Linked DNA regions of Macaca mulatta. The protein of the gene in region 1 interacts with the protein of each later gene in a pairwise test. Links are inferred from orthologs where the notes say so. Each region holds a gene or a part of one and is shown on either strand. Other genes may lie near its edges.

Evidence for each region. The genes of interacting proteins can lie anywhere in the genome.
Region 2: the proteins of CDCA7L (region 1) and CTNNBL1 interact in binary tests that used the Homo sapiens proteins (3 or more experiments, as listed by UniProt). The link is inferred for Macaca mulatta from reciprocal best matches to the Homo sapiens genes CDCA7L and CTNNBL1.
Region 3: the proteins of CDCA7L (region 1) and ZGPAT interact in binary tests that used the Homo sapiens proteins (3 or more experiments, as listed by UniProt). The two-hybrid records come from large-scale screens. The link is inferred for Macaca mulatta from reciprocal best matches to the Homo sapiens genes CDCA7L and ZGPAT.

What each region holds. Positions count from the first base shown.
Region 1 is NC_133408.1:106,352,399-106,357,762, forward strand, and holds the start of CDCA7L (cell division cycle-associated 7-like protein), read left to right. Parts: upstream 1-2,216; 5' UTR 2,217-2,340; coding exon 2,341-2,364; intron 2,365-5,364. UniProt on the Homo sapiens protein: Plays a role in transcriptional regulation as a repressor that inhibits monoamine oxidase A (MAOA) activity and gene expression by binding to the promoter.
Region 2 is NC_133415.1:90,636,896-90,641,754, forward strand, and holds part of CTNNBL1 (beta-catenin-like protein 1), read left to right. Parts: intron 1-3,890; coding exon 3,891-3,963; intron 3,964-4,201; coding exon 4,202-4,260; intron 4,261-4,859. UniProt on the Homo sapiens protein: Component of the PRP19-CDC5L complex that forms an integral part of the spliceosome and is required for activating pre-mRNA splicing.
Region 3 is NC_133415.1:116,591,908-116,595,625, reverse strand, and holds part of ZGPAT (zinc finger CCCH-type with G patch domain-containing protein), read right to left. Parts: intron 3,611-3,718; exon of another isoform or gene 3,249-3,610; intron 1,386-3,248; coding exon 1,252-1,385; intron 1,040-1,251; exon of another isoform or gene 1,017-1,039; coding exon 864-1,016; exon of another isoform or gene 1-863. UniProt on the Homo sapiens protein: Transcription repressor that specifically binds the 5'-GGAG[GA]A[GA]A-3' consensus sequence. Represses transcription by recruiting the chromatin multiprotein complex NuRD to target promoters.

The sequences.
Region 1 (5,364 bases):
GTGCCATGATGAAACCCAGTGCTCACATCCTGTGAACCCTATCAATAATAATTATTAGAAAGTATTACTGCAGTGTGATGTTAAAATCCTCTGGTTCCTTAGGGATTTTCCCAAAGCCTGACCAAAACAAAACAAAACACAGCACTATATAACCAATTACTAAATACCATCAAGGGTGCACAGGCTTTGCTAAGCCCAGGAAGAAAATTTCCGGGTTGTCATCTGGACTTAGGGCTGGTTATAGCAAATTTCTGAAGAGAAAGGCTCAACAGCTTATAGGTTTCCTGATACAGAAGTAGCTAGGCTACGCTGCTTCAAGTGCTTTGCAAAATCTGACCTGCTTCAAATTTGTGCTCCCTTTTCCAAAATGGATTTGATTTAACCTACAACGAAAAGGTGTGCAAATAAGATCAGCAGTTCCTGAGGAAGCAATTATCTTAAAAAAAACCCCAAAAAACAAAAAACAAAAAAAGCCCCCACAAAACAAGGAAGAAGAGCTCTGATTGAATTAATTTTCACTGTAAGCTTCCTGGCAGCCAAAGGGAAAAACTACAAGAAAGGGAAAGAATGTTGGATCTGGAGGAATAAGGAATGGTTTTCAGTTTGGCAGTCTGCTGCTGTCACTTAGTGGCAGGGTGGCAGGGATCTCTTAAATGTATTTTCTTAGATTCTGTTTCCTTATTTTAAAAATGTGGACAATAAGAATCTGGAAGGATATTGAGAGGATTCAAAGAGATACTGCATGTGAAGGAAAACTCTAAAGCATAATAAAAATGAAGTAGCTACAATGAATAATTAACATCCAATAAAAATAAAACATTTTAAGTTAGACAATGTTGTATTGGTCTTACTACTACCAGGAAGTAAGAACACTGAGGGCTGGAACATGAGAGCACATAACACATGTTGTTTGCTGAACTAACCAAAGGAAATAAACCTTTTCCATGTTTTCTCTTAAAGCTTGAGTAAATGTTTAGCAAATTTCATTCACTCACTCAATAAAGATGAACGTCAGATCCTAAGCAGTTGAGAGGGGCTGCAGAAGGTCCTATGCATACAGGATGCTCTATTGTAAACCCATGACCACGGTTCTAAATAGGCGTTCGACACTGTCCAGCAAACCTGCTGTGATTTCAGGACAACTTCATTTACCATTCTCCCCACTCTCTACTTCAAGTCTCGCACAATTTCCACAAACTTAATTCCTCACTCTTCATACCTGAGCTCTAAGAAGTATTCCCTTACCTCTCCCAGATTGTCTCCCTATTTTACACCACCATAATACCACTTGCCTTTTTTCTCATGGCATCATCGCTCCAAATTGACATTTATTTGCATCATCATTACATTTGTCATTGCTAGTGGTATCAAATTAATATTAATTATAAATCTAATTTATAAAATTTACATCATTGTTATCATTACGCTTATTTGCATCATTGTTGTATTTATTTAGAATAATGCAATTAGGTTGGTAACTGGCTCTCAGGCTGTAAACTCCAACAGAGCAGGGGCCTGTTTTTGTTCACCCTTCTGTTCCTAGGACTAACCCAGTGCCTGATGCTTAGTAGGTGCCGGGGTCAATTCTGCTAAATTAATCAGCATTCCTGACCTCTACAAACTCTGTTTGGTGGGTGTGGAGGCCTACTGTGTAATGGCCGTTTAAAGTTTCAGGCGGATTTGCAGTGTCCACCGGGGCCCTAGTAAAGAAACCTGGGTTGCCCGTTTTGCAAAGTGAACCCTGTAGCAAATGTTTTGGGAGACGGAATCCTCCCAAAGAGAACGCTGCCCCTTTACAACAACAAAACAAAACAAGCCCCAAAACCGCCCTACAATATTTTCCTGGATCAGAGACAGGGGTTGCAGCAGAAGCTCGAGCCCTAGGGCATGACCTGGAATAAACCCTGCCAAGTATCCTGCGCGCGTGCCAGCTGGAGGCTGCGCCGGGACAGCCCCCTCATTTCTCCCGCGCTAAACCCCGCCGGACGGCTCCACTCCCTCCCTCCCCTACAGGGGGGAACCCGGCGCCCTAACACTGGTAACTGCTCATGCCACCCCCAACTGCAGCCCCCTCTCGCGCCGCCTGCGAAGACAAGGTCAGTGGCCGCGAAGTTGGGACGGTGGTCGGAGCCACGAGGCCCAGTGAGGCGGCACCGAGCGGGCAGCGCGACGCGCTCCCCCTGTCCCGAGCGCCGAGTGCGCCCCTCCCGGGGCCCGCCTGTGCTCCGGGCGCTGCGCGCTGGCTGCTCGGGTGCGGGGCGTTCTTGGTGCGCCGGACCGTGGCGAGTCCGGGCTCCCGTGGCCGCGTGCTGGGAGGAGACTGGCGCCCCGTCAGGAAGCATGGAGTTGGCGACTCGCTACCAGGTGAGGGTCTGGCCGTCCGCCGCCGTCCGGAAGCACCGACAGTTTGACTTCCCTTTGCGACTCGGTCCTGCTGGCCTTGGGCTGGAAACGTGGCCCTTGGCTGCTCTGCTGGGAATCTGGCGCGCCCAGCCGAGTGAGTGCCGGAGTGGGCGCGCCCTGCAGGTGTGCGCGGTGGGTCACGTTTGTGCCACGCGGACCACAGAGCCCGGTCGCCCCAGCACAGAACTGCGCTCAGCCTGGCGCTCTGCTCAGTCTCGGGTGGCTGCCAGGGGTGCAGGCGGGGAGCTAGCGGGGCGCAGCGCTTGCGTTTGCAGCCCTCCTGAGACGGGGGAGGGGCTTTTTTGTGCACTCCCAACACTTTCTCCGGGAATTGGCACAGAGATCAGGAAGCTTAAGAAAGTTGTATTATTTTTTTTAATAGTCGATCGCCAGACCAGTCCAACTTGGATAATGGAGTTTAAAAAGAGTAACTTTAGTGTTTATTCTAGAACTTTTGTAAACGTTCTCAAGGAATTAGTAACCATTTGGGGGAAATGGTAACGTCATTGGGCCAAGTTAAACAAGCTGCAAGATCCCAAATCATATGCACAGCACGACCCCAATTACGCGTTAAGGGCCTAACTATCCTTTAAAACTCATTAGCAAACAGTTGAGTAAGTTCCTCCAAACGTTTCAGTGAGTGGTGGGAATGTGAACGTGACTTCAGTTTTCTCTTTTTACCTCTTAAAAGAGCTTTACTCTACGTTATCGTAATGGAGATAAATGTTTACTTAGAAGTAAGCAATAAAAACATTTTTCAAAAGAACTAAAAATGCAACCTTTAAAAAGGGAAACAAGCAGCCACGCCTCTGCTTGTGAGTACAGAGATGCTTTGTGCGAGGATTTTTTTTTTTTTTCCACTTGTTTTTGTGAGAGTCGCTAGACTCACTGCTTCCACTTTGCCTCCGACTGGTGTTTACTTTCCTCCACCTGCGTGCCTGGCCGGGGAGAAGGGGAGGCGGGGCCGCCAGCATTGGAAGGCGCTGAGTGCCAGGTGCCCGAGCCCAAGCCGCTGTCACCTGCCCGAGTCTGGCGGCAAAGACCGAGCCACTAACGGTAGCTTTGGCCTTTTAGTAGTTTCTGAAGCCTTCCTGAAAATGGTCGTTTGAGAAAAATCTGTTGTTGATGTTTCTGAGAATATTTTTAAAATGCCTCCTGTGAGAGAAACTCTGAAAAGCAAGGGAAACAAACAGTAAAGCCTAGGGAATGAGACAGGGTTCGATTTTTTATTTTTTATTTTTTGCCACTAGCTTTTACCGTGCTAATTTTAATACCGTAAAACATTTAATTACTGTGCTAATTTTAATACCGTAAAAAATTTAATTACTGTGCTAATTTTAATACCGTAAAAAATTAGCATCCAATTTTTTTTTATTTTTTTGAGACGGAGTTTCGCTTTTGTCCAGGGTGGAGTGTAATGGCGCTCACTGCAACCTCCGCCTCCCAGGTTCAAGCAGTTTTCCTGCCTCAGCCACCCGAGTAGCTGAGATTACAGGCGCCCGCCACCGCGCCCAATTATTTTTATATATATATATATATATATTTTTTTTAAGTAGAGACAGGGTTTCACAATGTTGTCCAGGCTGGTCTTGAACTGCTGACCTTAGGTGGTCCACCCGCCTCGGCCTCCCAAAGTGCTGGGATTACAGGCGTGAGCCACCACTCCCGGCCAGTGTCCTAACCTTCTAGGAGTTTCTGCTGCTACAGGACTCAAAACAAAACAAAACAAAAAACAAACCCTCTGGATGGAGATTTGAGCTCCTTGTGAGTTTAATCAGGAAATGTATCTGCAATTTATCCTGAGCTCCTTGTGAATGTAATCAGAAAATGTTTCTGGAATGTATCACTCCTGTTGTTAGGCTGGAGAGTCCTTTGTACTTCCACCACTGATATTCATAATTCATGCTTAGGAAACTCAGAAGTCCCAGAATGTATAGTTGGAAGTGAACGTTTACTGCCATATAATGAGGCTAATTTTTGGTAGTTCTAAAATGTTAAATAAACTATTTATCATGTAGGGGTTACCCACAAATTATATCCGATCCATTATGCACCAATTAAGGCAAATTACTATATGTAAGATGATCAGGGGTTTTTTGGTTTTTTTTTTTCCTTTTCTAAAGACCTAATTGGCAGTGCAAATCAAGATGTGTGATGATTTTTCCAGTGGAAATGTTCCTGTTCATCGTAATTTAAATGTGCACAGATTATTGTCTCTAAATTAGTGGAGAGTGGTTCTATCGGGTGGGCAGGTGACTGCAGATAAGAGCACTTAATGAACATTTCAGGCACAGCAAGATGTTAAATTCGTGTGGTTCCACCCTGTCTCCCAGCCTTATGAATAAAGCAACGTAATGAACTGCCTGAAGTGGCATTGCTGCACATCGAATGTCATTCAGCTCAGTGTGCAGTGAGTTTTAGTCTCACACATTGGAGTAAGTATAATTTCTATGGCTTGGAAAGCACAGAGCTAAGTGTTTCAGCAAAGCAGCTTAGGCCTAATGTTATGAGTAACAAGCAAACAAGGAGACTCATTTACTCTGAACTCCTTTCGAGTCTGCTTTCCTGCCATCCCACCAGTGTGTTGGATTTGATGTCCTCTGACAGTGATTATGCTTTCCACAGGCTGTAGTCTTGTGCTGACCACTGTGTCTTTGTGCTTTTATATAAAATGACAGAAATACCTCGTAAAGGCAAGGGTGTGATCTCTTACTAAGAGCTGTCAACAGTGCAGCTCCCTAGGAGAGAAACTGGTAGGCACTGAATGTCAGTGTTCTCCTCGTACTGTCTTCTAGCTCCAGAGTACAGGATGGCCCATTTGAGAAGGAAATGATGCTAAATGTTCTTGTAAATAGGCAGGAACATACTGTTGAAGGGGTAAAGGGGAATTTTTCTGGTATTGGTCTCTCAGCTACAAAATACTCCCATCTGATCCTGTTGTTTAACATGTAATCACGGAGC
Region 2 (4,859 bases), on another chromosome or scaffold:
TACAAGTTCCAAGTCCCGCTGATTAACTTTGCAAAATCCAAGAGACTATACCTGCTAAGTAAAATCTCCTTTCTCCTAATTTTGATTAAATGTCTTTGAAATTTGGCGGTTTGGTATTGTGCAATCTCTGGTTGAGATTTAAACAGAAATAAAATATCCTTTGTAAGTTTTGTCTTTGGCTAGACAGGAAAGATTACTTTCCTTTCTTCCCACCTGGCCTAATTTCTTCTATTTCTTTTCTACCAGATTAAAACATCTGGTCATCATCATCATCATCATCATCACTAAGTTTTCACCATCTGATATGAGTTTCATGTATTGACTGCTCACTACATGCTAAAGTGTTTTTCTAGAACCTTCTTTCCTTCCTTTCTTTTTCTTCTTTTCCTTTCTTTCTGTCCCTCTCTTTCTTTCTTTTTTTTTTTTTTTTTTTAAGGCAGCGTCTCACACTGTTGGCCAGGCTGGAGTGCATTGGTACCATCACTGCTCACTGCAGCCTCAACCTACCAGGCCCAAGTGATTTTCCAACCTCAGCCTCCCAAGTAGCTGGAATTTCAGGTACACACCACCACACCTGGCTAATATTTGTATTTTTTTTAGAGATGGGGTCTCACTATGTTGCCCAGGCTGGTCTTGAACTCCTGGGCTCAAGTGATCCTCCCACCTCAGCTTCCCAGAGTGCTGGGATTACAGGTGTGAGCCACTGGGCCTGGCCACATACATTATTTCTAATCCTCACAACCCTGCCAAGAGGGTGCAGTTATCCCCAGTTTACAGGTAAAGAAAGAATCCCAGAGAGAGGAAATGGTGTTGCTCAAACCACATGGGAACCACGTGGGAGAGCCTGTGAGCATTGGGCCTTGGCATCTCTGAAGCCACCTCCTCTCGCCAAGCTGCTTCCCAGCGGGTACTGCTTTTAGGTTCTGAAGCATTGCAGAGCTCAGCGTTGGGGAGTTATCAGGCCTCATCATTTTGGTTTCCTGATTAGATTCTTCCTTCATGTCAATTTGTCAGTCAGAACTTACGTTTTAATTAAAAAATGATGAAGTTATCAGTCTGGTTTTTAAAAACTTACTTTGGGTAGATTGGAAACTCTTAGTAGTGTCTTACAGCAGAAGGTGGAGATTTTCTGCGGAACCAGGAATTCTCAATAGCAAGAAACTCAGCTGGTCGGTGCCTGTTACGTATACACCAGTTCCCTTAGTACAGCCACTTCATGAGGAAGATATTAATTTGGCCAGTCACATAGCTGGTAACTGTTAGAGCTGAGATTCTAATGCAGATATTTCTGGTTATGGTTGTCAGAAAAACTTGTGGTACCTACTGTGTGTTAGGTACTTTCATATTATGTTTTTAAATTCTCATAGTAACTCTCCAAATAAGTGTTTTTTTTTTTTTCTATTCTTTCTATTTCTTCTTTCTTTTTTTCATGTCAGTGCCCTTAATTTAAAAAGTGCTATTTTTTATTTTCATTTTACAGATGAGGAAACTGAGACCAAGAACGTTCCTTGGGTCATGGATTCCTATTGTCAATTTACGGTGTTTTTTAGTGTCTCAGTAATTTTGTTTTTACAGCACCGCTATGCCAAAAAGTACCTAATAGTCTCATTTATTAAGTAGTTATGTCCAAACCATTTAATATGTATTTATGCCCTTACAATTTGTTAGCCATTTGAGAAGATAGTACACACGAATTGAAAGAAAAAATATTTTTATTTCATTTTTAAATACCATAGTTACTTCCTAATGGTATGTGTGCCTTTTGATACTGCTCAAATCCTCCAACCTTAGGATCCGATTGAACACCACCGCCGTCATTCTGATTTCACATCCATTTTCACAGTTATTTTTGTCAGAGCAGCTATCCAAACACAGCTCCACAAAGATAGGATGTCACCAGAAGAAATGTACCTTGAGATGCTAGTTAATGCAGTGCCCAACAGATGTCACATTTCCCTGTGTTCTCCATGAAATTTTTAAATATCCTGTGGTGAATTCAGTGTGGCACCCCAGTTGCCACAGCACATAGTTGGAGAACAGCAGACTTGTTCACATAGGCAGTGGCGTGCTCGTGAGTCAGCCTTAGGTGTGTCTAATGCCAGATCCGTGTGTTTTTTTTTTCTTTTTTGAAATTTGACATTTCTACAGAATTAATTTTAATTCAGTGTAAGGTTTTTAAATGCCACAACAGTGGACAGGGTTCAGATCTAAGTCACACCTGTTTGTTCTCTTGCTTAATTCTGTGTCTTCCCTATAGCAGGTGCCTAATAAGTATTTATTGAAAGGAAGAAAAACTGCCTCCAACTTGAAAATAGGAGCTTACAAAATTGAATAAAGGACAAGAGGCATTAGATCCACAGAAAGGCCGTGGCTCTAATGACCTACTGTCTTGTGACTTCTTTCAGTTAAGTATCTTGTTTTAAACAAGAACCATGGCCCTTGCAAAGCTAACGTTTAAGTTGGTGCGGCTTAAATCTTTCAAAATATAATAGCAATACTTGGAACTTATATAGTTTGAGTGGGAAATTTTATTCGCGAATCCTTGATTTTGATAGGGATGCTTACTCCTTGGCTTTTCACCTTCATGTTTTGATTTTCGTTAATATGAAACCATTTTTCTTAAAGTGAAACATACCACAGATTGCATTAAGCCCTGACTATTATGCTGAATTTCTTGAAACAAGGCTTCAAGCTTGCCCCGGGAGCATACCTTACATTTAGCACATGTAAGACCTTGCATTTATAGATCTTTTAACCTAAGATGGTCATACTTGGTCGACCTCCTGAAACTCTGTAGGCTGCACTTAGCTTGATGAGGGAGACGTGCACAGAAAACTGAAATGATGCTGAATATTGCTTGATTAGGTGCAACTCTTCCTCTTTAAGTACAAAACCAGTGTCTAAACAGATCTGTGAATGGTGGTAAGGTGACGGAAGTGTTAGTTCCAAAATAAATACTTCCCTTGTCTTTTCCAAGTACAGAAATTCTTTGTCATTTCAAAAACACAGATAGGTAGCAAAGGTTGCTGCTGATTAATAGTCATTGTTTACATGCCTGCATTTTAAGGATCATGGACACCATAAATAAAAACACATCACTGAGACTCGCTCCTCTCTGTGCACCTTCATCCAAGGGGCAGTGATAATGGTGAGATATTTAAGTCTCACTACCGAAGCAACAGTGAGGACAGCCATGAAAAATAGTCTGTGCAGTAGATGTGTCCCCTCTGAAACTCCCAAGTAGCAGACCATGCAGCAGGGAAAGAATTGTGGGTAGTAATTTGGGTGTTAAAATATTAACACATTTTTGCATATTTAATGTGGTTTCCTTTTTAAATAATAGGCAGATTATGGCATGCAAGCAGATAGGTTTATGATTTCAAATTAAATTTTAAGCATTAAAAAAATCCAGAAGGAACTACTTTGTGATAAATATATTCAGTTAATCAAGAATTGCTTTCTTTTCAACTTCTCTGCTCATATATTAACTAATTTATAGCCTAATTTCATGATTGTAGCTTGTGCATTAAGCTTCATGGTGAGTTTTAGTCTTAAAAGTTCAAAACTCTCATTCTTCTAGTTCACATTTGAGTACTATGGGCTAGACATATATAATCTCTGGACTCAAAATGGGAAATCTTGGAAGTCTTTACCGAGGAGGTAACCTTAATACCTGGGCATTAAGAGTGTGAGAACCATTGTTTCAGTCTGTCACTTTACTTGGTTCTGGTCTCTTGAGAGCAGAGGCCGACGTTTTTCCCCTTAACTGCCTTTTCCCTTTCTAACTTCTCCTTCTCTCTAACTCAGATCGTAGTACTCATGAAAAATTTGTCCTGGGGAAGGAAGCAAGACCTCTTAACATTTTTCTCATTTCTCCTATTTCCCCATAGGCAAAGATGCCTTTCGATGCCAACAAACTGTATTGCAGTGAAGTGCTGGCCATACTGCTCCAGGACAATGATGGTGAGGCGCCCTCTCAGTATTGATATTCTGTTAGGATAGGAGCCAGGCTTGTTTCAGATCATGACAGCAAGCTCTCTTGCCTTTGGCATCCCTTTGCTCTCCCTCTCGCTCCCTGTGCTGCTTTTGTACTCTGTCAAGCTGTATTGATTTTGTTTGCTGATGTATCAGTGTTAGACGGCTGTAAAATCTGACAGTTAGGTTCATTTTTTTTTCTTCCTCTATTTTTTCCCCCTTTTAGAAAACAGGGAATTGCTTGGGGAGCTGGATGGAATCGATGTGCTTCTTCAGCAGTTATCTGTGAGTAATTCTTATGCTTCCTGTCTGCTCTAAGATACATGGCTGGCTTTGAATGGGAGGTGGAGCTGGAAATTGTGGGAAGGAATGAGCCATGTGCTGCAAGCCATATGGAGTATGTTGGCAGGTTTGAGGGTTTTATGGAGGTACATGGTTTGCCTCCTTTTCTTAGTCATTTGCTCTTTATGACCAGACATCACTGTGTGTCAGATATGAATTTTCTTCGTCTTCTGATATGATATTGTCAACTCAAAAAAGATGTGCCTCCTGCTTAAGTGTGTATGTTCTGGGCCAGGCATACCAAATTATTTTCATTTGACCCACTCCCAAGATTGTTCACCAACCTTCCTTTCAGTCTGCTGTGAAAATGGAGTATGTTCATTTAGGATCTGAATAAGATCAAGGAGTCCAAGTTCCACTGCAGTGGGGTGGGGGTCAAGGGGAGGATAGGGGAGGATGTGGTGCTGAAGGCTGGAGTGAGAACTTGGAAACTGCCATTTTCTCACTGTAAGAAATGTAAATCCAGTTGAAATGTTATTCTGCTGGCATTCTGAAAATACTGTTAAGATTTCCTCTTACAAGTTTCATCTGTGTTATTCTAA
Region 3 (3,718 bases), on another chromosome or scaffold:
GGGCTCTGACCAATGAGCTCAGATCCTGGGCAGAGCCCCAACACCCCACCTCTGGGGCTCCGTGCTCTGTCACTGAGGCTGCTGTGGGCATGTGACACCAGGCAGAGTGCATGGCAGTCCCCACGGCCTCCTGCACCGTGACCCCTCCTCCACAGCCCTCTCCTGCCCTTGCCCTTCTCCACCTTCGCAAGGCCATGAGCTCCTCACCTGCCCTCACAGAGTCCTTGGTTTGGTCCTCCTTCACCAGGGACTTGGGGCTTCAGAAACCACCATCACTGATCCCTGGGTACACCTCCAACATGCAGACCCCTCCTGGACTCAGCCCACCATGCTTGGGTCAGGTGACCTCCCGCATATACACACACACGTATACACACACCCCTCTGGAGAGCTGGCCACCGGCCACTAGTTCCCATTCCCGAAGCTTCCACCCTGGCTGTCTGGACACCACCTCTGTCTGCCAGGATCCACCAGGCACCCAGGTCCCAAGTTTGAGAAGCCATGCAGAGGAGCTGCCCCTCTTGCACTCCAGGCCTCATCGGTTGTTCATTTTCTGTGACTTCCTTGGCAACTCCGGGCGCCTCCTCTCCCATGGCCACAGCCATGACCATGGCCTCCCATCAGTGAGACTGTAGTTGTTGTACCCACGCTCCTTGAAGACAAAGGCCACCACGGATCTACCCCGGCCCTTCACTCGCACTCCTGTACCCCTGCCCCACACGGCCTCCCCAGGCACGGCTGGCGCCCTCGCTGTGGCCACTCTCTCCAATAGTTTGGTTAGACGGTCGGTGCCCTCAAAAGCCAGGAGCCTCTCAGGGTGACCCCACCTTCCTGGCTCCTGGGTTCCACAGCTGCTGCCATACCTCTGGCATAGCTGGAGTCACCTGTGCCATCGCTGTCTGAGTCGGACTCTGTGGCCTCTGTGCGCAGTGGGGGCAGGATGCCGTCCCCCTCCACCACGGCCTCCCTCAGCAGCAGCGAGTCAAACTTGACTGTGTAGTAGCCATTGTCCACATCTAGAGGCAGAGACAAGCTGCAGGTCAGCATCCTTGACAGCAGCTGCCACTGATGGGGAACCACCCTGGACATCAGGAGCAAGGCAGGGCAGAGGCTGAGGGTAGATGTGCTCATTTCGGGCCCAGAGCCAGAGTCCCAACACTCATCCCAAAGGAGGCAGGGAGCAGCCACGCAGTAATAACACGTGTGGAGCCTGGGAGGGTGTTCCCGGAAGGCCTCCACGGCCAGCCTCACCGGTGATGCGCGCCGCATGCCAGAGGCCATCCTGGTGCTTGGCCAGACACGCAGAGCCGGCCTGCAGGGAGCTCAGGTCTGGGTCCTGGAAGGGGCGCAGCTCATCCAGAGGGACCACCTGCCCATGGGAGAACCTGCAGACAGAGCCATAGGGGGCAGGGCTCAGACATGGGCCACCAGGGGCAAATAAACCCAGGAGCACTGACCCATCCACCTGGGCACCATCCTGAGGGAGCCAGACACATGCATGTATACACACACACACGCACACATATACACATACATGCACATACACACATGTACACATACTCGTACACACATGCACACGCACTAACACATGCATACACGTACATACACAGGCGCACACATGCATATACACACGTACACACATACACATGCATATACACACATACACATACACTCACACATGCATACACGCATGCACACACATACACATATACGCATGCACATACACATGTACACACATACACACATGCATATAACACATAAACATGTAGTCATACACATACACACAGACCCTCACACATTTATAAACATGCACTCACACACACACTCATGCAAATACATATGCAGTCATACATGGATATACACAAGCACCCTCTCACCCACGCACATGCGCGCACACACACGCCTGCTCACACACGTGCACATGCACTCTCACCCACACACATGCGCGCACACACACGCTCTCTCACACACGTGTGCACATGCACTCACCCACACGAGCACACACATGCACACACACGCGCACAAACGTGCCCTCACCCACACATGCAGTCACCCACACACATGCGCACACACGCACTGTCACATGTACTAACATATACACCCATACACGCATATACACACACATGCACACACACAACATGCACATATGCATACAAGCACACATGCACACACGACATGCACATATGCACATACGTACACACACATGACATGCACATATGCACATACATGCATACACACTCACACTTGCACACACACATACAGTAGTCTCTTGGTATCTGTAGGAAACCCCCTGTGGACACTAAAACCCGAGGATGCTCAAGTCCCTTAGATACAATGACACAATATTTGCATACAACCTATGCACATCCTCCCATATACTTTAAATCATCCCTAGAGTACTTGCAGTACCTGATACAATGTAAACGCCATGTAAATAGTTGTTATACAGTGTACAGACGCAGCCATCCTTTTCTTCCCCAATTATTTTCGACTGGAGATTGGTTGAATTGATGGTTATGGAACCCGCGGATACCAAGGGCCAACTGTACACTTTACACACGTATGCACATGCACACATACAGTCTCTCTCACACACAAAGGGCCTACTGTACACTTTACACATGTATGCACATGCACACATACACACACACACAGTCACACACACACACATACCAAGGGTCAACTGTACACTTTACACACGTATGCACATGCACACAGTCTCTCACACTCACACGGGCCTACTGTACACTTTACACATGTACGCACATGTACACACAGTCTCACACACACTCACACAAGGGCCTACTGTACACTTTACACACGTATGCACATGCACACGCAGTCTCACACACACACACGGGCCCACTGTACACTTTACACACGTATGCACATGCACACACAGTCTCTCACACACACGGGCCTACTGTACACGTTACACATGTACGCACATGCACACATACACAGTCTCACCCCAAGGGCCAACTGTACACTTTACACACGTATGCACATGTACACAGAGTCTCACACACACACAAGGGCCTACTGTACACTTTACACACGTATGCACATGCACACATACACAGTCTCACACACACCCCAAGGGCCAACTGTACACTGTACACACATATGCACATGCACACACACAGTCTCACACACACACCAAGGGCCTACTGTATACTTTACACACGTATGCACATGCACACGCAGTCTCACATCACACACACAGACACCCGCATTTTCTCTCTCAGGATGGACTTGGCTGTTCCAGAAGAATATACCCCGTGTGTCCCATCGCCTCTGCTGGAGTCCCAGTGTGGCAGCCCCTTTTGACAGCAGCTCCCACAGTCTCACTACTGCACAGGAAGCCACAGCGCCAGTTCATCAAGGCAGAGGTGTTGGGGGTGTGCATGTGCTCCTATGACTGAGTCCTCCCCCACACTAGGAGAACCTGCTTATGAAATAGCGGTGCCTTGACTTTCAGATATCAGTGAACCAGTAAAATTAAAACCAAAACCAAGACACAGAGAGAGAGAATGAAAAGGAAACGTGGGGACAGACAGGAGCACAATCTTCAACTTTGCCAAATAAAGACATGAAAAACTAACCGCCATCCACTGCTGCCGTGCCATCGTTTCAAAAGGAAGTTTCTTTTAACCCCACAAAAGCAACTGAGCGGCCCGGCGCGGTGGCTCACGCCTGTAATTCCAGCACTTTGGGA